Linked DNA regions of Callithrix jacchus. The protein of the gene in region 5 purifies or fractionates together with the protein of the main gene of each other region. This does not show direct contact. Links are inferred from orthologs where the notes say so. Each region holds a gene or a part of one and is shown on either strand. Other genes may lie near its edges.

Evidence for each region.
Region 1: the proteins of RNF185 (region 5) and SIGMAR1 purify together in Homo sapiens (affinity purification with mass spectrometry; 3 studies listed by BioGRID and IntAct, with this or other methods). This does not show direct contact. The link is inferred for Callithrix jacchus from reciprocal best matches to the Homo sapiens genes RNF185 and SIGMAR1.
Region 2: the proteins of RNF185 (region 5) and TMUB2 purify together in Homo sapiens (affinity purification with western blotting; 3 studies listed by BioGRID and IntAct, with this or other methods). This does not show direct contact. The link is inferred for Callithrix jacchus from reciprocal best matches to the Homo sapiens genes RNF185 and TMUB2.
Region 3: the proteins of RNF185 (region 5) and ERLIN1 purify together in Homo sapiens (affinity purification with mass spectrometry; 3 studies listed by BioGRID and IntAct, with this or other methods). This does not show direct contact. The link is inferred for Callithrix jacchus from reciprocal best matches to the Homo sapiens genes RNF185 and ERLIN1.
Region 4: the proteins of RNF185 (region 5) and TMUB1 purify together in Homo sapiens (affinity purification with mass spectrometry; 5 studies listed by BioGRID and IntAct, with this or other methods). This does not show direct contact. The link is inferred for Callithrix jacchus from reciprocal best matches to the Homo sapiens genes RNF185 and TMUB1.
Region 6: the proteins of RNF185 (region 5) and BRI3BP purify together in Homo sapiens (affinity purification with mass spectrometry; 3 studies listed by BioGRID and IntAct, with this or other methods). This does not show direct contact. The link is inferred for Callithrix jacchus from reciprocal best matches to the Homo sapiens genes RNF185 and BRI3BP.

What each region holds. Positions count from the first base shown.
Region 1 is NC_133502.1:141,502,073-141,506,106, forward strand, and holds SIGMAR1 (sigma non-opioid intracellular receptor 1), read right to left. Parts: upstream 2,801-4,034; 5' UTR 2,682-2,800; coding exon 2,531-2,681; intron 2,405-2,530; coding exon 2,204-2,404; intron 2,074-2,203; coding exon 1,981-2,073; intron 1,737-1,980; coding exon of another isoform or gene 1,684-1,736; exon of another isoform or gene 1,601-1,683; intron 1,172-1,600; coding exon 945-1,171; 3' UTR 64-944; downstream 1-63. UniProt on the Homo sapiens protein: Functions in lipid transport from the endoplasmic reticulum and is involved in a wide array of cellular functions probably through regulation of the biogenesis of lipid microdomains at the plasma membrane.
Region 2 is NC_133506.1:71,038,736-71,042,722, forward strand, and holds the start of TMUB2 (transmembrane and ubiquitin-like domain-containing protein 2), read left to right. Parts: upstream 1-1,187; 5' UTR 1,188-1,727; coding exon 1,728-1,732; intron 1,733-1,895; exon of another isoform or gene 1,896-1,990; intron 1,991-2,816; exon of another isoform or gene 2,817-2,902; coding exon 2,903-3,469; intron 3,470-3,987.
Region 3 is NC_133513.1:93,108,468-93,112,562, forward strand, and holds the start of ERLIN1 (erlin-1), read right to left. Parts: upstream 2,801-4,095; 5' UTR 2,673-2,800; exon of another isoform or gene 2,568-2,672; intron 2,407-2,567; 5' UTR 2,396-2,406; coding exon 2,283-2,395; intron 589-2,282; coding exon 507-588; intron 1-506. UniProt on the Homo sapiens protein: Component of the ERLIN1/ERLIN2 complex which mediates the endoplasmic reticulum-associated degradation (ERAD) of inositol 1,4,5-trisphosphate receptors (IP3Rs).
Region 4 is NC_133512.1:97,129,169-97,133,110, reverse strand, and holds TMUB1 (transmembrane and ubiquitin-like domain-containing protein 1), read right to left. Parts: upstream 2,801-3,942; 5' UTR 2,650-2,800; intron 1,899-2,649; 5' UTR 1,869-1,898; coding exon 1,474-1,868; intron 1,200-1,473; coding exon 848-1,199; 3' UTR 384-847; downstream 1-383. Other genes in the region: FASTK (fas-activated serine/threonine kinase), read right to left, coding at 1-68. UniProt on the Homo sapiens protein: Involved in sterol-regulated ubiquitination and degradation of HMG-CoA reductase HMGCR. Involved in positive regulation of AMPA-selective glutamate receptor GRIA2 recycling to the cell surface.
Region 5 is NC_133502.1:201,671,632-201,675,830, reverse strand, and holds the start of RNF185 (E3 ubiquitin-protein ligase RNF185), read right to left. Parts: upstream 2,801-4,199; 5' UTR 2,655-2,800; intron 1-2,654. UniProt on the Homo sapiens protein: E3 ubiquitin-protein ligase that regulates selective mitochondrial autophagy by mediating 'Lys-63'-linked polyubiquitination of BNIP1.
Region 6 is NC_133510.1:128,182,459-128,186,436, reverse strand, and holds the start of BRI3BP (BRI3-binding protein), read right to left. Parts: upstream 2,801-3,978; 5' UTR 2,645-2,800; coding exon 2,438-2,644; intron 1-2,437. UniProt on the Homo sapiens protein: Involved in tumorigenesis and may function by stabilizing p53/TP53.

The DNA.
Region 1 (4,034 bases), about 60 Mb from region 5:
TATCTTCCAGAGGTCCCCAGGAGTCAGAGGCTTTTTCCGGCTGCTCAGACACAGAAAAAGATGAAACAGATCGACAAATCTTTATTAACAGAAACAGACAGATGGATCGAGAATGCAACAGGGGCTGTGTGTGTATTTATGTGCATGTGTGTGTTTGTGTGTGTAAAAGGCCTTCTCCAGGCCAGGAAGGGCCCCTTGGAATTAGGCCCACCTGTCTAGATCCTCTCCTCAGTGGTGGGTCCTGGGCTGAAACCAGTTTCCCCATCACACCTCCAAAGAAGGAATGGGGGTCTTTCTGGGATGGAAGACTCTGACTTCAAGCATTCTTCACATTACTCTGGTTCCCCAGCTGACTTTGTTGCTGAGGGGGCTGGGGACAAGCCACAGGGGCACTTGCATAGCAGGGGAGTAGAAAGGGGATAAGGCATATGGTGAGGACAGGGGAGAAGGGGAAGGGTATCATAGCTGCAGGTGAAAGGGGCCTCCAAAGGGCAGCTCCTCTTCCCCCTCAAATTGCTGCTGGATTGAGGAGTCAGAGTGAGACAGTATAATACCCTCTCCCAACCTTAACTCCAGAACCCGTTTGGTGGGGAGGGGGTAGGAAGCTGTGGAGCTCTGGAAAGGCCTGAGTTAGTGAGTCAAGCTTGTGATGTGTGTTTGAACACAACTGGCTCCCTTGGTATACCAGGGGCTCCCTCTCTGGATGGGTGTGAGTGCATGGTCCTACTGTACGCACAGGTCTCAGTGTCTATATGTGTCTCATTTGTTCCCATGGGTCTCTGTTTTTGGATACATAAGCATGGATATCCCTGCTTATACAGCAGGAACTCAGGATCTGCATGGTGTGAGTATGTCCCTGTCTGTAAACATGGGCTCCAGCAAGTGGATATATGCGGGCCTGCCCGCTCCTGTCCATCCACAGGTCTTCCTTCAGGCCTGGCTGGTCAAGGGTCCTGGCCGAAGAGGTAGGTGGTGAGCTCAAGCCGGAGGCCCCGGGCATAGGAGCGAAGAGTATAGAAGAGGGTGAGGAAGTCCTGGGTGCTGAAGACAGTGTCAGCCAGGGCAAAGGCCAGGGTGGATGGGATGACACCCCGGCCGTACTCCACCATCCATGTGTTTGGCCCCCACTCCACAGCCGTGGCTTCACCAGGCCCATGTACTACCGTCTCTCCTGGGGGACAGGGAGCACCCGAGTGAGGAGCCTAGCTCTGCCCTTCCCTTTCATGGCTGCTGTTTCCCTGGCCCATGGGCTATCTAGGGGTGGGGAATGGAGAGGGAGCTTCAGAAAAACAAAAAGCCCTACCTCACTGGGCTGGCCGAAACGGCCACTCCTACATGTTCTGTGACATCACCTGGCCTGTGTCCTCTCTTGGGGGAAGCCATGGAGGGCTACCTTGCCTGGCCATGGACCCATTGTATGCAAGTCTGCATTCCCAAGCCTCACTCAAATCAAGCAGAAATTAAGCCAAACCTAGTCTGGGCTGTAGCTAGGGAAGGGGTAGTTCCAGGACTTGTGAGGCTTTATCTGAAAAGTGTTGCTGTTCAACCACCATGCCCGCGATGCATACACCTGACATCAAACATACTGGGAAGTCCAGTGCGCTACTTCTTAATTGTTTTACTATTAAAAAACAGAAAAGATAACTGTTTGTCTTGTCTTTGGGGTATTGAAAGCATTTCTGATTACCCACTGTCTCCCCAGCAGTTGCTGGAATATTGGCTGGGTAAAATTGTGCCTGGGCAGACAAAAATCAGACATGATTAGCAGGAAGTTATGTTTTGTTTCCTTTTGACAGAGGAAAGCACAAGTCTTTCCTCAGCTCTGCCCCAACCAATCACCTGTGGCTTATGGGAGGGTGGAGGAAGGGAACCATAAGGAGGGCCCCCCCAACAGACTCCTTTTCCATGCCATGCTCCCCGCAATCGTGGGCACCCCCCGCGTGAAGGGAACCACTTCTCTGACAGAGCCTCCTTACCCACCTGGGTAGAAAACCTCACTTTTGGTAGTGCCCTCTCTCCACTGGTGGAAGGTGCCAGAGATGATGGTATCCGAGATCTCAGCCCAGTAGCGCCCTGAGTGACAATCACATGGACACTATCAGAGTATTCGCGCCATCGCAACGGCCCAGCCAAACATCAGAAAGGAGGGCATGGGCCCCTTTACAACCCCAGCCTCCCAGGCCAGACCACCGCTAGCACTGACCCGAGTGGCCGCGGGAGCCCAGGGCGGTGCCGAAGAGCAGCACATACTCGGACAGCGAGGCGTGCAGAAGGCACATGGCGCCCATCCAGCCGCCTGCATTCACGAACACCCACTGCAGCTCCTCGTCGGGCAGCACATGGCCTGGGTGCAGCCGTCGCAGCTCCACGATCAACCGAGAGAAGGCTAGCTCGTGGTCCAGCCCTGGCGGAGGGAGAGGGGCGGTGGAGTCAGGGCCGGCACCGGTCCTCGGCCCAGTAATGGTACCTTCGGAACCCTGGTCTCGGCTCCCGGACCGGCCGCTCCCCTCCCCGCTCTCTGCCCGCTCACCAGCGTATTGCCGCGCCAGCTGCGCGATCTCTTCGCGCTGGAAGACGAAGCTCTGAGTACCAAGCCAGAGCCAGACGACCTGGGTCAGCACCGCTGCGACAGCCAGGAGCAGCGCGGCCCGCGCCCACAGCCGGCCCGCGGCCCACTGCATCCCGGCGGGCGGCCTGGCACGGCGCAGCGAAGGATGGAGCCGAGGCCTGAGGCTTTGCGCTCACCGCCTCGGAGCCTGCCGGCTGCCCACGACGCGCTCCCCCGCCACCGCTGTCGTACAGCTCGCCCTGACCAATCGGAGCGGCCTGGGCACCTCGGCACCACCCGCTTCGGTCGAACCATTTCCTCGGGGGGAGCGCGGAGGAGAGGGGCTGCACCGCGCACAGGAGACGAGGGGGCGGAGCGAAGTCGCCCAGCTGCCAGAGGCAGGGTTTTCAGGCGTGGTCTGACCTAACGCCACTCTATATGGGGATAGAGATGGGGGTAGTGAGACCCAGAATGGACTAGTCCACACAAGCTCACTGGCTGGTGAAGAAGACGAGCCCGGAAGTGGAGCCTTCTGGGACTCACGATGGTTAAGGCCCGCCATAACCAGCACTTAAACGGAGAGGAGGTAGTTCAAGCTGGGGGCCCTAGGGTGGGCATACCAGAGGCGGTGACACCTGAGCTGTGTCTTTAAGAGCGCGGAGAAGGGGCATGCCAGCCCACAGGGACAGGCCCCTAGAGCAAAGGCCCCCGAGGAGAGACAGCGTGGGGTCTTCAGGGCCCTACAATTCCTTCTCTGTTCTGCAGCACAAAATGTGAGAGGAGGCCTTGTAAACCAGCTGTGGGTTATCAGCAGGGGAGGAAAGGGATTAGATTTTGTCACCGAGTGGCACAGGACTACCGAGTGGAGGGGAGCAAGATGAGGCAGGGAGACCATGACTGTGGTCCAAGTAAGAGAGAAGGTCTGTAAGTGGAGATGGAAGAAAGAAATGAGCTTAACAACTCTGGAAATGGATTTGGCAGGGCTTGATCTCTTCTTCCTGGAATACTCTTCCCCCTTTATCCTATCCCCACTTTTCCCTTATTTGGCTAACATCCTTTGCATATCTAGCTGGCAATCGAGTGTTGAGGTCTGGAAGCCCAGATCCAGTCTGGAGATAGAGCTGGGAGTTATCATTCATTCAGGCAACAGATGTTTTGTTAGTACTTGTATGTGCCAAGTTTTGTGGTGACCATTAGGGATATGGCTGGAAACAATGGTCCCACTCCCCATTTTAGAGATCTCTCTAGGAGTCTACAGAATACCTCTAAGGATGGATAAAATCTCCCAGGGAGAGAGAATAGAGTAAGATAAGGCTTAAGACAGAGCCTGGGAGAGCACCAACAGCAAAGGGTAGGCAGAGGAAGAAGAAAGCTAACAGGAAAACAAACAAAAGAGAAAAGAAGCAGCATAGTGAGGTGATTAAGAAATAAACTCCGGCGCTGGACTGCCTGAGTTCAAAGCCTGGCTCCTACCTACTAGTTGTCT
Region 2 (3,987 bases), on a different chromosome or scaffold from region 5:
GCGGGGTTTCACCATGTTGACCAGAATGGTCTCGATCTCTTGACTTCGTGATCTGCCCACCTCGGCCTCCCAAAGTGCTGGGATTACAGGCGTGAGCCACCGCGCCCGGCTCCGTCTGCATTATTTAACCTTCAATCAGTAGTTCTCCAAAACCCCCAAACTCCAGCACTTTTTTTTTTTGAGAGAAGCCCTCGCTGTCGGGTGGAATGCAGTGGCTGAGATCATAGCTCACTGCAGCCTCGAACTCCTGAGCTTAACTGATTCTCCTGCCTCTGTGTCCCAAAGCGCTAAGATTACAGGAGTAAGGCACCCAGCCTGGCCCCAGTACGTTTTTAGAAAAAAATTTAATTGCAAAAATCTAGATAAGTTCTTGAAAGCTGGACTTTTCCCCCTTTTTGTGCCCTAAGCCTGCGCTGAATTTGTGCCTTTGAAATGCTTTCTCCCCTTCTTTCTCCAGGTCCCACACTAGCTGGGGCCGCACTCTTCAAGCACTGGATGCCGACTAACTCGTCTCCTCATCTGCCTTCCCGACTGGCCCAGAGCTGAGTTCTTACTAATCCCGCTAACCTGGAGTTCGGTGCGCGTTGCAAAGCAGTAACGAATTCAACCAGCCCCGGAGGCAGACAGCAAAGCCGGAAGAACAAAGCTGAAAGGGAAACGCCGTACCGCCTCTACCCAGCAGCGCCAGCGGAGGAAGCTTTCCGCAGACGCAAAGCCACGCCCCTTCCCAAGCACCTCCCCGCTGGCCCCCCCTCAATCTAGACTGCCTAAGGCCCCGCCCACAAGGCGTGGCCCAGCTCCAGGAGGGCCGCAATCCCGCCAACAATGACTCCACCCCTGCTTCCGCTGAGAAACCTGTCCCTTTTATTTAAAGAATACCTTTTACGTCAGCCCGCCTTCCGTATCTTTGCGTCATCAGTGCAAGGCGCGGAGGCGGGACTTCCTGTCCCTGGTTCTAACAGCTTCCGGGAAAAGCCGGAAGCGACCGGACCCTGAACAGAATCGCGGGTTGCCAGCCCTTTCCCCGAACCCTACGGAAAGACGAGTCCAGGGGCCGTCCTGGCGAGGTCAAAACATTTAGTCTGGGCTTTTCAGGTGAGAGCTTCCCCATCTAGGCACAGTGCTGGTCCAATCCACCTTTAATTTCCCATGACTCCCCGCGTCCTCAAGCCCCGCCCCCAGTTCCCAGCCCCGCCCCGAAGTTTGAGGGGTGTGGACGGTTTGTGACCCCCTTATCCGACGCTACCCCTCACCGGCAGGGAGAGCTGGGCTTGGCACGGCGGCTGGGACCAGGCAGCCCTTCAGTTCGGGTGGGCTTATGGACCCCAGTCCAACGCCGCTGGAATAGGACCATCCAAACGCGGAACTTTCGCCTCAGAAAAAGCAGGGTGCGGGACCCCTCCTCACCGCGCGGTCTGAGTACGGTCAGGGTAGATCATAGGCTGAGGACAGAGTAAAGTCCTCTGAGGCCGGACACCTGGGGTCCTGCCGGGCCCCTCCCCACGAGAGTTTCCTGTGTCTGTGCCAGTCGTTTTCATCGTTCTTCGCCGCAGTTTCCTCTTCTGTAAATCATGGTTAATGACAATTAACCTTCTTACCATCAGGGGTTAGTTGTGGGTGTGATAAATAATTGCTACCATTTATTGAGCAATTGCAATTTGCAATGTGCCAGGCACTGTGCTAAGTATTTTGCTTCGTTGATTTCACGTCATCTTCAAAACAACCTCATGAGGTAGGTACTATTTTTAACCCCATTTTACTGATGAGAAAGCTGAGGCTCTGAGAAAGTTGTCCGAGTTGACATAGCTAGTAGAACGCAAGACTGGGGTTATAATTAGTTGTTTTTCTAACTCCAGGGCCGGTATATTAAATAAGGATGTTGATGTGTTCCACAGATACTCAGTAACTACTGGGGCATTATATTGGACACTTCAGTACCAAGAGAAATACATACGATCCTTGTCTACCAGGAGTCTAAGAGAAAGGACAGGTAGATAAGTTTAATGAAGTTTTATAGGTGCTGTGAGAATAGTCTGATAATGGATTTGCCCAGGGACAGCTGTGAAAGCAGCAGATTCTCCAAGGGAAATAGTAGGTACTCCAAGCAGCAAGCAGGGATGCTTCCTGTCTTGCTAAGAAACTGCAGCAGCAGAGGCTTCACGGTGAAAGAAGAGAGACTGAGATGTGGATTGCGAGAGCCGTTGGGGAATCTTTTTCAAATCACTTCCACTTGGGGAGTGGTTATTGCAGGAGTGGGCCCATGGTGACCCAGGAGGGTGGTGTTTTGGTGTCTGTCCCACGTTGCTCTCCAGGGGTTGCCAGAAGCTTCAGAGGCGGCACATCATGTCTGCTGCATAGTGTCTGTTCACAGCCCCTACAGAGTTATCCCATTGAGGTTGTCTGACTCTGCTTTTGATGATAGGTCAGTTTTCTTTGGCTCTTGACATCTGGGCAGCCTGGATCTGTGACCAGGAATGAAATAGGCTCAAATGAGACAATCTAGTAGGGGTGGCTCATTCTCAATCTGAAAATATTCCAGGCTTTTGGATCTCTCTGAAGCCACTTTGGAGGCTGCTTAGGAGGCATATTTGCTTGACCAAGTGCTAGAAATCCTAGAGAAACTTAAGCCTCAAAGAAGCAAAGGTTTTTCTCATCAAAAAAAAAAAAAAAGTGTGAGAGAGGAAGATCACAGAACCTGAAAGCAAGAGTTTCACAATAGAGGCAAAGGGTAGGTCTTCAGCTCTAGGTTGAGGCGCCAGAATTGGGAAGGTTTGTACCCGATTCTACAGAACACTGAACTCCATTTTTTTTTTCAGGGCTGGGTCAGTTAGAACCTAAACAAACTAGAGACCTGGTTGCAACCCTCAGGCTCTGCTGATGCTATCCCCCTTTGTTCCTGCAGCGTGGACCCTGTCAGCAGCCAGGCCATGGAGCTCTCTGATGTCACCCTCATTGAGGGCGTGGGTAATGAGGTGATGGTGGTGGCAGGTGTGGTGGTGCTGATTCTAGCCTTGGTCCTAGCTTGGCTCTCTACCTACGTAGCAGACAGCGGTAGCAACCAGCTACTGGGCGCTATTGTGTCAGCAGGCGACACGTCTGTCCTCCACCTGGGGCATGTGGACCACCTGGTGGCAGGCCAAGGCAACCCTGAGCCAACTGAACTCCCCCATCCATCAGAGGGTAATGACGAGAAGGCTGAAGAGGCTGGCGAAGGTGGGGGAGACTCCACAGGGGAAGCTGGAGCTGGGGGTGGTATTGAGCCCAGCCTTGAGCATCTCCTTGACATCCAAGGCCTGCCCAAAAGACAAGCAGGTGCAGACAGCAGCAGTCCAGAGGCCCCCCTGAGGTCTGAGGATAGGACCTGCCTCCCTCCCAGCCCCGGCCTCATCACTGTGCGGCTCAAATTCCTCAATGATACCGAGGAGCTGGCTGTGGCTAAGCCAGAGGATACTGTGGGTGCCCTGAAGAGGTGAGTGGCCTGGGAAGTGGGAGGCTGCTTGTGCCCATCCCCCAGCCCTTGGTTGCCTCTAAGGAGGCTGGTGCAGACATTGGAGCAGCAGGAAAGTATAAGATCAAGCCCTCCTAAGGGCAGGTAGATACTTTCTTAGAAATACACTCTTCAGGCCAGGTGCGGGGGCTCATGCCTGTAATCCCAGCCTTTTGGGAGGCCGAGGCGGGTGGATCACCTGAGGTTGGGAGTTTGAGACCAGCCTCATCAACATGGAGAAACCCCATCTCTACTAAAAATACAAAATGAGCCAGGCTCGGTGGCGTATGTCTGTAATCCCAGCTACTTGGAAGGCTGAGGCAGGAGAATTGCTTGAATCCGGGAAGCGTTGTGTGAGCCTTTGCACTTTAACCTGGGTGACAAGAGTGAAACTCTGTCTCAAAAAAAGAAATACACCCTTCATTAGTTAAGGATAAAGATGAGGGGGGAAAAATCCACCCTCCAATTTTTCCCCACTCCCTTGCTTTGTTATTTCAGGC
Region 3 (4,095 bases), on a different chromosome or scaffold from region 5:
CTGAGATGTCATCAAAATATAATATGTACTAAAGTTCTACATAAAATTGTGCTTAATGTACCAGGCCAAAAAAAAAAAAAAAAAGAGGCAGAAAAGCTGTGTATAAAAATTTTGATCCTCCATGTTAACAGTAGCCCAGGAGCCTGCCTCTATGGAAACCAAACACTGTTCTAAACCACATAATCACTGGTTTTTATGTCTATTTGTGTTCCTAATTCTTGCTTTTATTGTGAAAGCAGCAACAGAAAATTTGCTACATACCACTATACAGATGGCAGAAGTTAGTCTTCCTAATTGCCTAGTTCATACTTTTAACTCATTTCATGCAAGCGGGGTGGTTAAACATAACCTGTGTTGTAACAACTGTACTCTGAACGCTAACTGCTGCATTTAGGCAAATACCACCACCTGCTTAAGCAATAGGGAAATCTATCTCTACCCACAAGTGTGGTAACTCCTGTCATACCTGTCTATCTGGTATGGGGGCTTCCCTAGGAATCACTCACCTGCACAGATCTGAACGTAGTAATGAAAGGCAACATGATATGATAGCCTGGTCCACTAGGGCTGGTTAGTAACGCTCCTCCCCTGCAAAAAGATGTTTCAATTTGACAAAATCATAAAAAGATAAATTATCTTTCCAAATCTAAAGTGCTATAATAAATACCCACTCTTACTCATGCTACTGACCTACTAAAGCCTCACTAACATTAATTACTCATAATGAACAACTGCTTAAAATACCTCCACACCTAAAAAGGCAAAAAGATCAAACTGAATTGTCAATGTTACACCTTGTTTCGTAAGCTCAACTAACCGCACCTCTGGGTCTCCAGCACTGCCCTTAGGTTCAAAGGATTCTCCTTGGTCTTTAACTTTCTGAGAAATACTTGTTTAAAAAATTACAATGGCTTTTAACAGAGGTAAATGTACCTACAGCAACTGTACACAACAAGAACAAAATCAAAATATATAACACATTTAATCACCAGGTTGAGAAAAAGACAACACAAACTTTAAAGAGAAAATTTCTGAGGCTTATAATTCTTTCAATCTACTGGCAAGGTAATTAAAATATTGGGAACATAAAGTTTCTATATAAAAAACAAAAAAAAATAGCATGAAAAGATGAAGGGTGGCAAGACCATATAAATAGATAGGATAAGGGCTTGTTCACCAAATCCTGGAATGTGAGAACTAGGAAAGCAAGCCCTATAAGGGCACTATAAAAAGGAGGTATTTGGGGAGCAAATAAAACAAAGAAGTCCTATTTTGCGCCTTGTAAATTCACAGAACTTAGCTTCCTGTCTTGAAAATATAAACACGTTGGCAAAGTCATAATAAAGAAAAGATGAACTGTTTTAGGTTCATCACTAATTCTTTGAACCATTCGTTGAAATGTCCTTTCTCCGGTTTTACTATCAGACAATGCTAAACTGGAAGGAAATCTGGGCTGATCTGTAATCTCTTACTCTAGAGGTCCGTCTGCTAAGATATACCACTAAAATTGTTCTTTTTCTAGGATTCTGGATGGATCTGAAAGAAATATCAGTTTTGAGGGATAAAAGAAAAAAGCAAAAAGTTGACGCTCTTTTTCAATACACCATTATTCCAATTTCTCCACAAACTGGCCTCTCTCTTACTAGTCTATATCAAAAGGAACTTGTGGTAATTAGGCTGAAGGAAAAGCTAAGCAGGCTCAACAAGAGAGCAACAGCTTCCATACCACTCCTGTCCCCAACCTGAACAGAAACAGTGAGGAGGAGGACGGCCCATCGGTGTTGTGCTGATGTCCCAGGAGGTGCAGGGATATAACAACTATCACTGTTATCACGGTGTTGTAAGACGTAACCAGACACTGGAAGCTTTTAAGCGAAACAGTCTAAAGAACAACCATAAACAGAACCAAATTTTCTGTACACCGTCTATAGTGGCAAACTAAAGCCTGTACAGTTGCACGATCTATAATTTATCCATGTCTTCAGTCAGAGGTACAAAGACTACTTCCTTTCTTCCTTCTTCATTTTTCTACAAAATAAAATTGAGTTTGCTGTGTATAGACTCACTGTAGGGAGACTTAATCTCTGCAAAACGAACATAGCACTAAAACTGTCAGCACCTGGAGGGTGCTCAGCAAAAGCCCTCTTCGACCCCCGTGCTTTCCCTAGAGATGGGACGTGCGTCCCCGAACGCTGCAGAGGGAACAACTTCCCAGACTCCACTCTAACGTGAGTACCCTTCTATCTGCTCTAGTGCTCGAACTGACTGCACATGCCGCTCACCTGTAGTACACAGCCAGGTGGCCCTCCTCAATCTTGTGGATGGAGGCGTAGAGCAGGACAACCACCAACCCCACCACTGCAGCCACCAGAACCCGGGCTTGAGTCATATTCATCCTCGTTCCTCCTGGGAGCGAGAGAAAAAGACCCTCAGTCCCGTGAGTGACAGGTCCACCCCCTCCAGTTTCCACCCTCTCCCTCCGGAAACTTGGCGCTCTCTAGCAGCCTGAGCCGGGGAGTCCAGTGCCCCAGTCCCCTCATTCTTTCCTCCTGGCGGAGCCCGCTGACCCCTTGCCAACTTCTCCGCCCCAGGCGGTCGGAGGGCCGCCCCTGCTCGGTGAGCTTCCTGTCACCCCCTCTCCCAAGGGTCGCTCCCCGGCGGCAGGCACTAACTAAGGAGTGCAGCCTCAGGCTTGGGAGGAAAGCTGATCCCTCGGCCGCGCCGCGCCTTACCGATCAGTGACGCATCGCCCCCGCCCGCACGTGCAGCCGACTCCCGTGCAGAGCCAACAGCCGCCAACAGCCGGCCCCGCCCACTCGCCCAGCACTGCGGCTGCGCGGGGACGCACAAGGCGTAGCCCCGGTCCGCGACTAGTGAGACGGGGAGCGCACGGGACAAAATTCTCCCAGCCGCGCGGCTGCGCAGGCTCCCTTGAAGGCAAGTCGCTTTTCTGTACACTGCTAGTTAACTGCTCGGAAGAGGACAGTTGGGGGTCTGGAGTGAGCAGCGAAGCAGAGAAAAGGAGAGGGCCTTTCGGACAAGGTCGGTTTGTTCTTGTGTAGTGAACCCACTCGCTCACTCTCAAGCTGTAGCTGTTCGGTTTGTCCTTTTGCGGTATATGGGGAGCCCCACTGTGTGGCACGCACGTGCTTCCGGCACAGATCCTGCACTTCAGAAGCAACCAAACTTGTTGCAAGTAAAGTGCTGTGAAAGTTAGGAAGAGAAAGATGTTAAATATAACTGCATCATTCTCTTGCTTGTGTTCCTATTACGTGCTAGAATTCTGGTCCAGTGAGGGCTTTTATGAAGGTCATCCAGGCAATAGGAACAGAATTGCTAAGCACATGCGGCGGGAAGCGGAGGACTGTCCTCCAGGGAGACCAAAGTAAGTACTTCAGTTTCCTTGAAGGCTTGTGTGTTGGAAAGGAGTGCTATGGTAGCCGTCACTACATATTCTTCGTTCGTTTTACATTCTAAACCATGTGCACATATTGCCAAAAATAAAAAAGGCAAGGAAAAAGGTATAGGTGGGAGATAGATGAATACAAGAGAAATTAAGGGCATTAATGGTGTAAGCCTTGAATGGCTAGAGGTGGAACCGTAATGGACAAGGTAGACTAGGGTTGGAAAGTCCTCTAACGGACGGGTGGGTTTGTGTTGGGGGGGGTGGGGGGGTGGGAATCGTTTCGGATGAAACTGTTCCACTTCAGAACATCAGGCATTAGTTAAGATTCTCACAGGGAGACCGCAACCCTCGCATATGCAGTTCACAATAGGGTTCGCGCTTATATGAGAATATGATGCCATGGGCTAATCTAATAGCAGGCAGAGCTCAAGGCGATAATGCTCGCTCGACCGCTGCTCACCTCTTGCTGTCTGGCTAGGTTTCTAGCAGATCACTGTATGGTAGTGGTCCCGCGGCCCAGGGCTTGGGGACCCCTGAACTCTTGGGTAGGGAAATATGGGAAAGCAGTGCTTTAAGGCCAATGAATCTACAAAAGGGCTGAAAGTGGAGACAGACTATTGGCAAGCGAGCCAGGTGGTTAGGAAACAGCAGGCCTAAGGTTACTTAATAGTGGAAGTGAGAAAAGGTAA
Region 4 (3,942 bases), on a different chromosome or scaffold from region 5:
CCTGCGCAGGTCGCTCCCTCAGTCGGTCTCGGGGCCCGGGGGCCAGGCTCCCCCCGCGGCCTCCTCATCGGCTGGCCGCCGAGTCCGCCATCTTCCCAGCAGCCCCTGGAACGCGGCCGGGACACCAATCCCGGAGCTGCGCTCGGCCAGCGGAGACGTGGCTCCCGGCAGGCACTGCGAGCCAGGGAGCCGCGAGCCCGCCCCCGGGAAGTGCGCGCGCGACGCCGGGGGCGGGACCACGGAGGCCCGCGCCGAATCCCAGGCGGAACACCCAGAAGGGATAGCGGTGGACCAGAGCGTCCGGAGCAGTCTGTACCCTTCTCTCCCAAGCGGCGAGGGCTCCCCGCCCGCCACTCCGCACACACTCAGACACACTGCAAGAGTGAAAACTTCACAGTTACTTTAATCTGCACGGGTTCCGAGGAACTCCTCTGCCCCTCCCCGCTCCCCTTCACCAGCCTCCCACGGTCCTGGCGTCCCCAACTCAGCCCATGGTGCTGTCAGGGACTGGAGGCGGCTGGGTCCTCCGGCAGCACGTTAAGACGGGCCCGGGGGGCGGCCCGTCTCTGCCCGGGGCCTAGGCAGCGACAGCAGGTCCCTGACCCCGAGGAGCCGACTCCCAGTGCTGGCTGAGGGCCAGCAGCCCCGGGAGGCGGCCCCGAGCCACGGCGAGCGCAGGGCTGGGCCTCTGCCAGCCCCGGGAGTCCTCTGCGGTGCAGGGCTGGGCTCCAGGGCAGCGGGAAGAGGCAGGCCGGAGAGGCGGGCCTGGGCAGGCAGCAGCTCCCGCCACGGCGCGGGGAGCAAGGTCCAGAGGAGCCAGCGATGCCGCCAAGCGCCCGCGGAGGCACTACGGGCGGTACATGGCAAAGGCCAGGAGACTGAGGAGCAGGGTGAAGCCGGCCAGGCCCAGAGTGGCGGTCAGGGGAAAGAACGGCCGGTACTGGATCTGGCAGTACCAGAGCAGCAGCAGCAGCAGGAGCAGCAGGGGCAGCAGCAGGCTGCCTATTTCCAGCCCGGAGGGGCCGGGCTCGGACCCCGGAGGGCAGGGGGGACTTGGGGGGCCGACCCTCGTGGACACGTGGCAGTGGAGAACGCAGTTGGGAGGGAGGTGAAGGCTGCCCAGGGTCTGGGTGTCGTCGCCTAGCAGCTGCCCTTGGTAGATGAGTCGCACCTGCTGTTCCCGGCCGGGAAACTGGGTCCTGAGGAGAGAGGGACCTGGGTAAGAGAGCAGGCCTCAGGCAATCCTAGTCCCTGGTCCCGGAGCAGCACTCCCACCCTCCCCCTGCCCTCCGCACCGCACAGGTCCTGGCTTGGGAGGGGCCATCTGCCAGGGAAACAAGTGTAGTTGTGATGTGGGGCGCTCATCGCCTCCAGTATAAACGAGGGCTGGGTCTCAGACCTCTCTGGGAGCCTTCTGCTACTAGTCCCCCCATCCCTGTCTTTAGCATTGCTCCTGCCTCTTGCCCTGCTTACCTTTTCAAGGAACCAATGGTGTCGTGGGGCCAGGCCCTGGCCACCTGCTCTGAATCATTGAGGAATTTCAACCGTAGCACGAGGGGCTCCTGCGGGGAGTCCAGGGCTGGCTGTGTCGGTGTTGCTGTGACCCCAGTGCTGGGCTCTGGCTGTGCAGCTTGACCTCTGTGTCTCAGGCTGGGAGTCTCTGGCCCTGGGGCCTCCCCTCTCATGCTGTCGGTAGCTGCCATGGCTGCGCTGGGCTGGGCTGGCGATGGGGTCCCTGACAGCTGGGGCAGTGGGTCCCCGCCCTCAGCGGTGTGCGTTGAGACCCAGGCAAGGGCCAGCACCAGAAGGCAGGCAAGCACCGAGAAAAGGACGGTCACCTCATCACCCACCCCTTCAATCAGGGTCATGGCGCTTGCCTTGCCCGCCGCACTACCGAGCTGGAGAGGCACAAAGAGCCCGTGAGGCGCGAGCCCCCCGGGCTAGGGGCCCTAGAACCTCCACAGGATCCTGCCCCCACTCCACCGCTATGATCCCACCGTCCTCAGCCCGTCCCCTCACCCACCCCAGGGTACCGGCTGCTCTGCCTCCCAGTTGCCCCAAACTTGCGTCCGGGTGCCCTTTCCCATCGCCGAATCCCAAGTCCTAACTTTCTGTCATCTGAGCTCGAGGTCTTCAACCAGCTCCCAGCTCACCTAAACCCTATCTCAAGGTAAGGGCCCCGACCTTCTAAGCAATGCCTCCCCTAAACGTCACCCCGACCAAACTTCACCCCCAAGCGTATCTATTCTCCGTCCACTTCACTCTAGTGTGTCTACTCCTTCACCGACTTCACCCCAGGCTCATCTACTCCGTTGCTAAAGTTTCTCCGAGGTAGGGGTAGAGCCTCTGTATCCCCATCCCCCCACCCACAGCGTTACCGTTCACCCAAACCCCACCCGCGGCACCGGACTGCTTCCCAGGCTTCTCCCACAGCAAACGTCAAACTCGCCCCTGGGCAATCTGGAGCCTCCGAGCGTCACCACCCACCCAGCTCGGCCCCCTCCTGATCCCCTCAACCCCTCTCCCCGGAGGCCCAACTCTGCGCCTCCTCTGGAAGCCTCTCCAAGCCCCGCAGCTGCCAGACCCCAGATCCCGCCGGGAATCCGAGACTTCGCGCTCCCCGCCCCCACCCCTTGTCACCCCTCCCACCTTCCCGCCCCCCGGAGCCGCAGGAGGGCACGGCGATCCGGGGCAGCGCGGGCGGGGCCCGGCTGGGGCCCTGGGTGGCGGGGTGGGCGCGGTCGCGGCGCGGAGACTCACCGCCCGCGTCCCCCTGCTCCATCGCGGCCCCTCGGGCACTTCCGGGCGGGAGGCGCGGAGGTCATAGGCACCTGAAGCACCCCTCCTTCCCCGCCGCCGCAGCCAGGGGCATTGTGGGACTTGTAGTCCGGCGCCGCGCTGTCCCCGCCCTCTGCCCTGCGGACCCACGTGCGGGGCTCTACCGGCGGTTCCCGGCGTCTGCAGATCGCTGAGGGGCCGGTGGGGGCGGCTTTGTAGGGGAGGGGGTTGTGCTACCCCCTAGGGATTTGGACCGCAGCAGGATCTGCCCCCTCCCCCTCCAACAGCCAGGGCATCTGTTACACCAGATACCTACGTCAGCTGGAGCTCGTCAGAGCGCGGGTGTTCGTAATGCAGTGAGAAAGGCTCTGAGGAACTCAGGGGGCCCCTACCCTTCTGTCAGACTGGGCGCCAGAAGGCGCTTTGGCTACCGAAATTAATTTTTCAGCCCAGAGCCCAATATCCATGGGCTGCCCCACCAGGCTGGCTAGGGATACCCATCCTCAGGGCTGCCCCTTACCCTGGTCCCGCTCCTCAACCTTGCCCCTTCAGGACTATCAAAGAAGCATAGACTTTGGAACCTGGCACGAATCCTGATCCTTTATCCTGTGTTTATCAGCTATATGACCTTGGGTGGGTTATTGCATCTCTCTGAACATTAATTTCTTCCTTTCTAAAGCATGCTTTGTAAGTCATCCATAAGGAAGAAATTAGATGATTTATTCAAAAAAGGGAAAACTATGTAAGGTACATGTCACACAGTAAATATTTGTATTGGTACACTCCCTTTACCCAAACCTGGGCTCGGGAATTGGGTCCTTGGTGTGTTACTGTGTGAATGGTGTTGAATCCCAGGCCTGTGGATATCTGTGGATTTTTCCCTCTGGGCTCCTGCAGCCACAGAGATCTCACATCCTGGTTTTTACAGGTCAGTCTTGATTTAAAATAATCTATCCTAGACTTCCCATAGTTCATGTCTACTTGTGGGAGCAAATATTGCCTTAGGAATGTCAGTCCAGATAGATACCATACAGAACTAACCTATCTCTAGTTCCTTCCCTCCTGTTCATTCACTCATGTTTTCAAAATATGTACTATGACCAGGCACGGTGGCTCATATCTGTAATCCCAGCACTTTGGGAGGCTGAATTGGACAGATTACCT
Region 5 (4,199 bases):
CCTTTTTTCAGAGCCATTTCTTCAGACCAGTGGCCTGAAGAACACACTTATGAGGATGCCAATTCAGATACTTCTTTAAAAGGACATTTTTAGGGGGGTGGGGAGTTGGGGAGAGATAGCATGGGGAGAAATGCTAGATATAGGTGATCGGAAGGAAGGCAGCAAATCACACTGCCATGTGCATACCTATGCAACAATCTTGCATGTTCTTCACATGTACCCCAAAACCTAAAATGCAATTTAAAAAAAAAAAGGAAATTTTTAGGTTGTGAAGTTCTAAAAACTCCAACAAATTAAGATCATTTTACCAAGCACCTGGATAACACCTGAATAAGCATTTTGCAACTTTTTTTTTTTTTTGAGACAGAGTTTCCCTCTTGTTACCCAGGCTGGAGTGCAATGGCACGATCTCGGCTCACCGCAACCTCCGCCTCCTGGGTTCAGGCAATTCTCCTGCCTCAGCCTCCTGAGTCGCTGGGATTACAGGCACGCGCCACCATGCCCAGCTAATTTTTTGTATACTTAGTAGAGACGGGGTTTCACCATGTTGACCAGGATGGTCTCGATCTCTTGACCTCGTGATCCACCTGCCTTGGCCTCCCAAAGTGCTGGGATTACAGGCTTGAGCCACTGCGCCCGGCTGCAACTTTTTTTTTTTTAATCTTGGGAAACACAAGCAAGTCAATAAACACAGGCAGAAAGTTTTGGCTCAACCCTAACCTTTATTTTGTGGGGGTGGGGGAGCAAGTCGGCAGAACTGGGTCATAATATGGAGCTTCTGCTCCCTAAGACAACATAAACATTCCTGAGCATTCTAACAGCTGTTGAAAAAGTGATTTAGGTAGAGCTTTGTAATGCATAACATTAGGAAATAATGATATTTGATTAGAAAACTAAAGCTATGCTAGAGGCCAGGCATGGTGACTCACACCTGTAATCCTAGCACTTTGGGACGCTGAGGCAGGCAGATCACTTGAGGTCAGGAGTTCGAGACCAGCCTGTCCAACATGGTGAAACCCCATCTCTACTAAAAATACAAAAAAATTAGCTGGGACTGGTGGTGTGTGTGAACTGGCAAGTCAAGTCTATAAGAGGACTGGTTTTATTTGATGGATGGAAAGCTAGCCTACAGACTGCAAAAATTCTCTCACGTCTATACACATATTGCTGAAGAAAGGATTCAAGAGGGGGTTATGTTACAGGGAGGAGAAGGCTGTTCTGAAAGGCCTCAAGGGGTCCTTTCAACTGAGACTCCTCAATTCTGTGATTCAAAGAGTTCACTGGCTTCTCCTGGTCAAACACAAAATCTCCAGAGGCATTTCCAAGTTGTTCTTAGAAAAAAGCTACTATCCCACGGGGTGGGACCCAGTTTACTTATTCATTCAACAAACATTTAAGGTACCTCTATCAGATATTGGGTCATTCCAAAGTCCTTGAAAAAAAGGATGGTGCACAGGACAACCAGGAAGAGATTACATAAGGTCAGATGCATTGGCCTTATTTACAGGACATGTAGGCCAAAGTGATGGAAGTGTCAAGAAAAGAGAGAAGAAAAAGTCACATTTGTCCTAAGAGCAGAGTCAGCACCAGAAAGATGCAGAATAACTCCTTAGAATCACAGACTTTCAAGTTGGAAAGGACCTTCATCTAATACCTATATAACTCCCTCTAAAGGAGGCACAAAGGCAATCCATTCACTCCATCGCTGGTCATCTCTGATGATTCTTTCATTTAAATTCTTCTATTAAGCAAAAATCTTGTCTTCCTGTAGAACTCACCTGTTAGTTCCAGTTCTGCCTCTTTTAGCCCCAAATATGAAGTGGAAGCCCTCTTTGCCATAATAATTTTTTCAAATTTTAAAAAGTTAATTCCCTTCCAGTGCTCTCTTTACTCAACTAAGTTCTTTCAAAGTTCCTGAACTGGCACCAGCTGCCTCAAAGGAAAGAATGGATATCTAGTGCTCACAGCAGGAAAGCACTTAAAATCAATGCACTTCGAACATCGGTATAGACACGACCTACCTAGGCACAAGCTCAAAAAGCAGTTTCTTAGGTTCCAACTCAGATATTAAACCAGATATCTGAATTGAGTCCTGCACTTTAATGTAAAGCCGGTATCTCAGAGAATTTCAAAGCAGATGGTGTAAGAACCGTATTTTGAGAAACACTGCCCCGTTTTACACACAAGGAAACTGAGGCCCAGCACAGGGAAGAGATTTGGCCCAGAACGCACAATTGTCTGTCGGAGGCGAAGTCTCGAATCCAGGTTTTTTACTCTCAGCCCAACTCTGTTCATCCCGTTCCAGGGCCTCTGCTTCTCCACTCAGGGCAAACTCGTGAAATGCACTCCTAGATCATAGAGGCGGACTCGCAGGGGCGATAGAATGGGAATCAGTGCCCGTGCCTCGAAAGGAGAACTTGTGGGAGTCCTTCTCTTTCTCAAGGCCTCAGTTTCCCCAATCTGTAATCATGGGACGGAGAACCACAACGCCAGCTCGTCCTCTTTTCGGGGGCGGAGACACGGCCGGTCTTGCTGTCTCCGGGCCCCTGGGCTCAGGTGTTGAAGCCCGTGTGTCCTGGGAAGGCGGACCCGGATCTCCCGGCCCCGTCCCTAAACCGCGGCGGCCCCCGCCCCAACCCCAGCCCCTCACATACCTGCTTCCGCGCAGTTAACACCGTGGGGGCCGCCCAGTGTACCACTTAGTCGGCTAAACGGCCAGTCCTACCGCCCAAACTGTTGGGTAGGACCTCCGACCCCTCCTACGCGGACTCCAGTCACCTGACGCGGAGCCGCCCCTTTCGGAGGAACTTCCGGCCCCAACCGGAAGAAACTGATGCCCAGGTCCGAAGCTGTAAGGTTCCGCTTGCGGGTAGGAAGCGGAGGAATCTTGGAGCTCCTTGGCAGCTTTTTAAAGAGCTTGAGTACCAGGCTCTCAAAAGGAAAAACTGATTCCGGCCGGGCGCGGTGGCGCACACCTGTAATCCCAGCACTTTGGGAGGTGGAGGTGGGTGGATCACTTGAGGTCGCGAGTTCGAGACCAGCCTGGCCAACATGGTGAAACCCCGTCTCCACTAAAAATGCAAAAATTAGCCGGGTGTGGTAGCGCACATCTGTAATCCTAGCTACTCGGGAGGCTGAGGCAGGAGAATCGCTTGAAACCTAGAGACGGAGGTTGCAGTGAGCCGAGATCACGCCACTGTTCTCCAGCCTGGACGACAGAGCGGGGGCAGGAAGAAAAGAAAAGAAAAAGCTGATTCCGGAAAGTACCAGATAAACTTGAACATCTTGTTACACAAGAATATAAGGATGATGGTAATAAGAATCGTGGGAATGTGTCAAAGAACACAGGAACTGTCTTTAAGGAGATCCCACTGGCCAAGTCAGGGCAATTTCAGAATCAAAATATGTAGTGATAGTAATAGAATATAACTAATTGAATAAAATAGTGATTCATGAGTCTTTGCAGACATAAAGAAGTGAGTATATTAATGGACGAAGGGAAAGTCTTCTTTTTAGTAGAATGCCAACTAATAAACATGGTGGAGTTAGAAAATCAATAATGTGTGGTAAAACTAGAGAAACGGGATGTTTAAAACATTAAAAGTGTCTCCCATAAATTGCCTATTGATTACAAAGTGAAAATGGTGATGTTACAGAGGTGTAACCTAGCAGAACAAACAGATCAAAGTGATCGAAGTTAACACCACTAGTTAATGGGTCAGATCAAAGGCCTCCTAATAAGATGCACTGAGGACACATCTCCTCTGTGGTATTTCTGTCAAAAGTATACCACCTACATCTCATGAGGAAGCGCTAGAGAACACCAAATGAAGGACACTCTACAAAATAACTCATTGTCATGAAAAACAGAGAAAAGCTGAGGAACTGTTCCAGTTTAAAGGAGACTAAAGAAGCATGACAACAAAATGTGATGTGTGATTCTAAATAGGACCCTTGACTGGGGTGGTGGTGGTCATGGAATAGTTGTAATGGACAATATTGGGACAAGTAATGAAATTTGAATATGGACTGGGGATTAGCTTTAATACATATTGTATCAAATCACATACTGGTAGGTGATGAGCTTGTGATTTGCACCCAAGCAGTCACTGGAGTTCTTGACGGCCATCTTCATTCATTCAGCAAACATTTATTAAGTGCCTACAGGTATCCCATGAACTGTTAAAGATTGGGCCTGA
Region 6 (3,978 bases), on a different chromosome or scaffold from region 5:
CCCAGCTCGGCCTCCCAAAGTGCTGGGGATTACAGGCGTGAACCACCATGCCCTGCCATCACTCAATACTTTTTAAAGGAATTAATAAGTCTATCACTCTTCTACCGGACAAATCCCTTTCATATAGAAATATTTTACCATTTACTAAATGCTTATTCAGTGCCTGGCATTGTACAGCCCAACCAATCTCCTCTAATTCCCCAATTTATCTCCTCTGCACAAATGAGACACAGAGAAGTAAAGCACCTGGGCCTTGCACCGTGGCTCACACCTGTAATCCCAGCACTTTGGGAGGCCAAGGTGGGCGGATCACTTGAGGTCAGGAGATCAAGACCAGCCTGGCCAACATGGTGAAACCGTCTCTACCAAAAATATAAAAATTAGCTGGGCATGGTGACATGTGCCTGTAATTCCAGGAAGCTGAGGCAGGAGAATGGCTTGAACCTGGGTGGCAGAGGTTGCAGTGAGCCGAGATCGCACCACTGCATTCCAGCCTGGGCAACAGAGTGAGACTCCATCTCAAAAAAACAAACAAAAAGAATAAGTCAGGTCAGCCTCTGGATGCTGCACTGACTTTAGGAACAGGGAAGGGGTCATGAGGCAGGAAAACAGGTGAGAGACACTAATGTGAGCTCCGTGCCCCTCTCTGCCTGGGTTCACATCCTGGCTCTGCCATTCGTCTGACCTGAAACCGGCCACTTCACTGCTGTGTGTGCCTGTTTCCTCATCTGTCAAATGGGAACAGTACCTATGGCACAGGGTCATTCTAAGGCTTATGAAAGGCTACTCTATCTACAAAAGCACTTAGTAATCCTTAGCATCTCTATTAAAGGAACAAACCCTGGTTTACCCCAGGAAGAGCTCTGACCAGCTGATTCTCAGATGCTCTGCAGAATGGATTGTCTTATTTAAGAAAAGGTCTTAAATATCCACTCACGTGTCATGTTTACTGGCCTTAGATTGTCATACGGAACCACCGTCAGTAGAGACATGGGGTCCTGTGGTCACCCTGGGTGAAAAAAGACAGGCTTCTTTTTGCTCTAAAACAAATCGATTTCTATCTTCAAATGGCTCCGGAACAGCATTAAGAGGAAGTGTAGACTCCCTTCGCTCACACTCCTGACCTCCCCACCAGACTGCGGTGGGGCAACCTTTAGCATTCAGGAGCTCAGCCCTGCTTCCGCCTCCCTCCTTGGTCACCTACATAGCGGTCTCTCCCCCACATGTATGAAGACACAGACGCACCTCTGCAAGAGGTGCCCCCTGCCCATAGGACAGGGAGGTCAAAAGTGACTGTTTTCCTTATCAATTAACCTTTCATTTTATCCAATAAGAACATCCATTCAATCTGATTTGGGCCTTAATGTTCCTTTCTATTTCCCCCTCCCTCTCAATGAGCAGGAAACTAATTTTTAGCCATGATTCTGGGCCAGGAAGGTATCAGCTATTCATAAACAACCTCACGACCAAGGAGCTTTGATTACTATCCCCGTTTAACAAAAAAAGGAAACTGAGGCTCAAAGAAGTGAAGTCACTTGCCCAAAGCCATCCAACCTGTAGAGCTCCAACTTGAACCCAAACTCCTCTGACTCCAAAACTCCAGGGAGGCTGGCGGCAAGCAAGACTCCCCCTCCTCCGCAGGGAACAGCAAAGGAACCGCAGTACCACACACAACTGTCCCCAGTAACTTCCTCCTTCTCAGGAGCTGGTAGGCGGACTTCGGCCTGGAATCGCACCCCTATTCCACCCAGCTCCAGAGGGCGGGAATGGGGGAAAAACTCCCTGCGTCCTCCTGGGACTCAATACCCTTCCCAGGAGGCTGCAGGGTCCTGGACCATCCCAAATTAAACAAAAGGCTCCAAGCGAAAAGCCCCCCACACAGTAGGTGCTCGGTTTCCCAAAGCAACCGAGCCAGTCGCCTTGCTCCCTTCTTTTCCTGTAAAGTAAAATCAACTCCATGAATCTTCAAAACAGGAGGAGTGGGGCACAAGGTCCCAGGGGATGGGGGTCGGGGTGCGAGGCCAGGACAAACCCGGGGTAGATGGAGAGGGCGCAGCCGCGTGGGGACCCGGGGCGCGAGGGCGCCGCCTGGCTCACAGTGGGAGCCATTCAAACGCGGTCAATGAATGAATGAGACGCGCGGCGGGCGTCAGCGCAGCCGGGAGAGGGCTCCGACCGCACCGCCCGCGGGGGCAAGGTCCAAGGAGAAGCGGGGCGCGACGGAGAGGGCGCCCCGAGGCCCGGCCGCCCAAACCCACACTGGCCAGGCCCGACGGGGGCCGCGAGCGGCAGGCCCCGAGGCGCAGGCCGGACCCCCTCTTCCCGCGCGCCAGCCGGCCGGGCAACCCCGGAGGCCGCGCTCCTCGCAGGCCCGCCCCTGGCGCCAGGTGCGCGGCGGCCGGGGCAAGGTGACCGTGGGCGCGGGCCCGGCGCCCACCTTCTGAGCCGCGCGCACGTTGTCCTCGCCGAACAAGCTGCTGACGCTCTGTGAGAAGGTGTTGACTGTGCGGCGGTAGCTGTTCTTCTCGGCACCGCCGCGGCCCCGCGCCCCCTGCACGCCAGCGGCCAGCAGCCCGAGCAGCAGCAGCAGCAGCAGCAGGAGCCCGGCCCGGGCCACGGGCCCCCCTGAGGCGCGCGCGCCCATGCTCGGCCGGCGGGGTGCAGGGTCGCGGTGCGGGGTGAGGACCGGGCGCTGGGCCGCCACGGGCTCCGGCGAGGACAGGGTTGGCGCGCTCGGGGGCCGCGCGCCGCACGCCGCGCTTTTACCCACCGCCGCCGCCCGGCCGCCGCTGCGCCACCCGCCCCGCCCCGCGCACAAAGGCGCGACGGCCCAGCCCACGCCGCGCCCCGCCCCCGGCGCGGGACCAACGCGACCGGGCCCCGGGGCCCCGCGCCCGCCTTCCGGAAGCCAGCCCGAGCCGGTGCGGCTTCTCATCATTTAAAAAAAATAATTCTCTTTTTAAACTTATCCGTGGAAAAGCAACCCGTGCCTGTAAAACTTGCAGCAGCTTCAACCGGGTGACTGCTGCTGATTGGAAAACAGGAGGTAGATGTATATGTAATCTCCCTGAATTTATTATAATAGTACCCCCAAAATTGGCCATCGTGAGCATCAGCTCATTCGTTCTCCAAATTTTAAGCAACAAGAAAGCGTCAAACATCCTCCTGCCCTTCCTGAACTGTATTTCTGAGCCCCAAAATGGATGGGGAGGAAAACTTTCTTTTAGCAAAGTCCAGCTAATACATGAAGATGAATGAGTCAATTCCAAAGTTATTCGGCACCCCTCAATGGAATCATGGATTCACGAGACGATCACCAGAAAAGGGTGAAACCAAGAGGCGAGGGTTTGGTGGGGGAACTTGAAAATGGAGGGGCAAAAAAAAAAAAAAAGAAAATGGAGGGGCCAAGCCGCGAAGTCCCGGTCCCGCCAATCGATCTTAGTGCCAGGAAGTACCAGCGCCACCTGCGATGGAGTCTTGCCAAGACACGTTAAGCAGGAACCTGATGGGGCCTCTAGATCAAACCTACAGTTTACAGGAAATATGGGAGATAAGGGAAACGCGGAAACAGCAGAAGCAACCAGCCAACTCCAGCATGTGGGGCATTCTACGAGACAGGGACCCAGTTTGTTCAATAAATAAGCGCCATAAAAGGTGAGCGGAGAGGAGGATAACTAGTCTTAAAGACTTAGCCGCAATAACCTATGCAATGCAAGGACCCTGTTTGCATCCTAAATCAAACAAATTAAGTCTAACCAACATTTTTTTAGACAACCAAGAAAATAAAACTCAATTTTTGCCAATCCAAAGAATAAAAAATGCTTTCTTTTCTTTTTTTGAACTTACATTTTCTGGATTCCTGGTAAGGTTTTCATGGATGTATTGGCCATTTGAGTTACTTCTGTGAATTACCTAGTCATATCCTATGCACACTTTTTTCCTGTGTTGTTTATATTTTAGAAAACTTTTTTGTAGGCT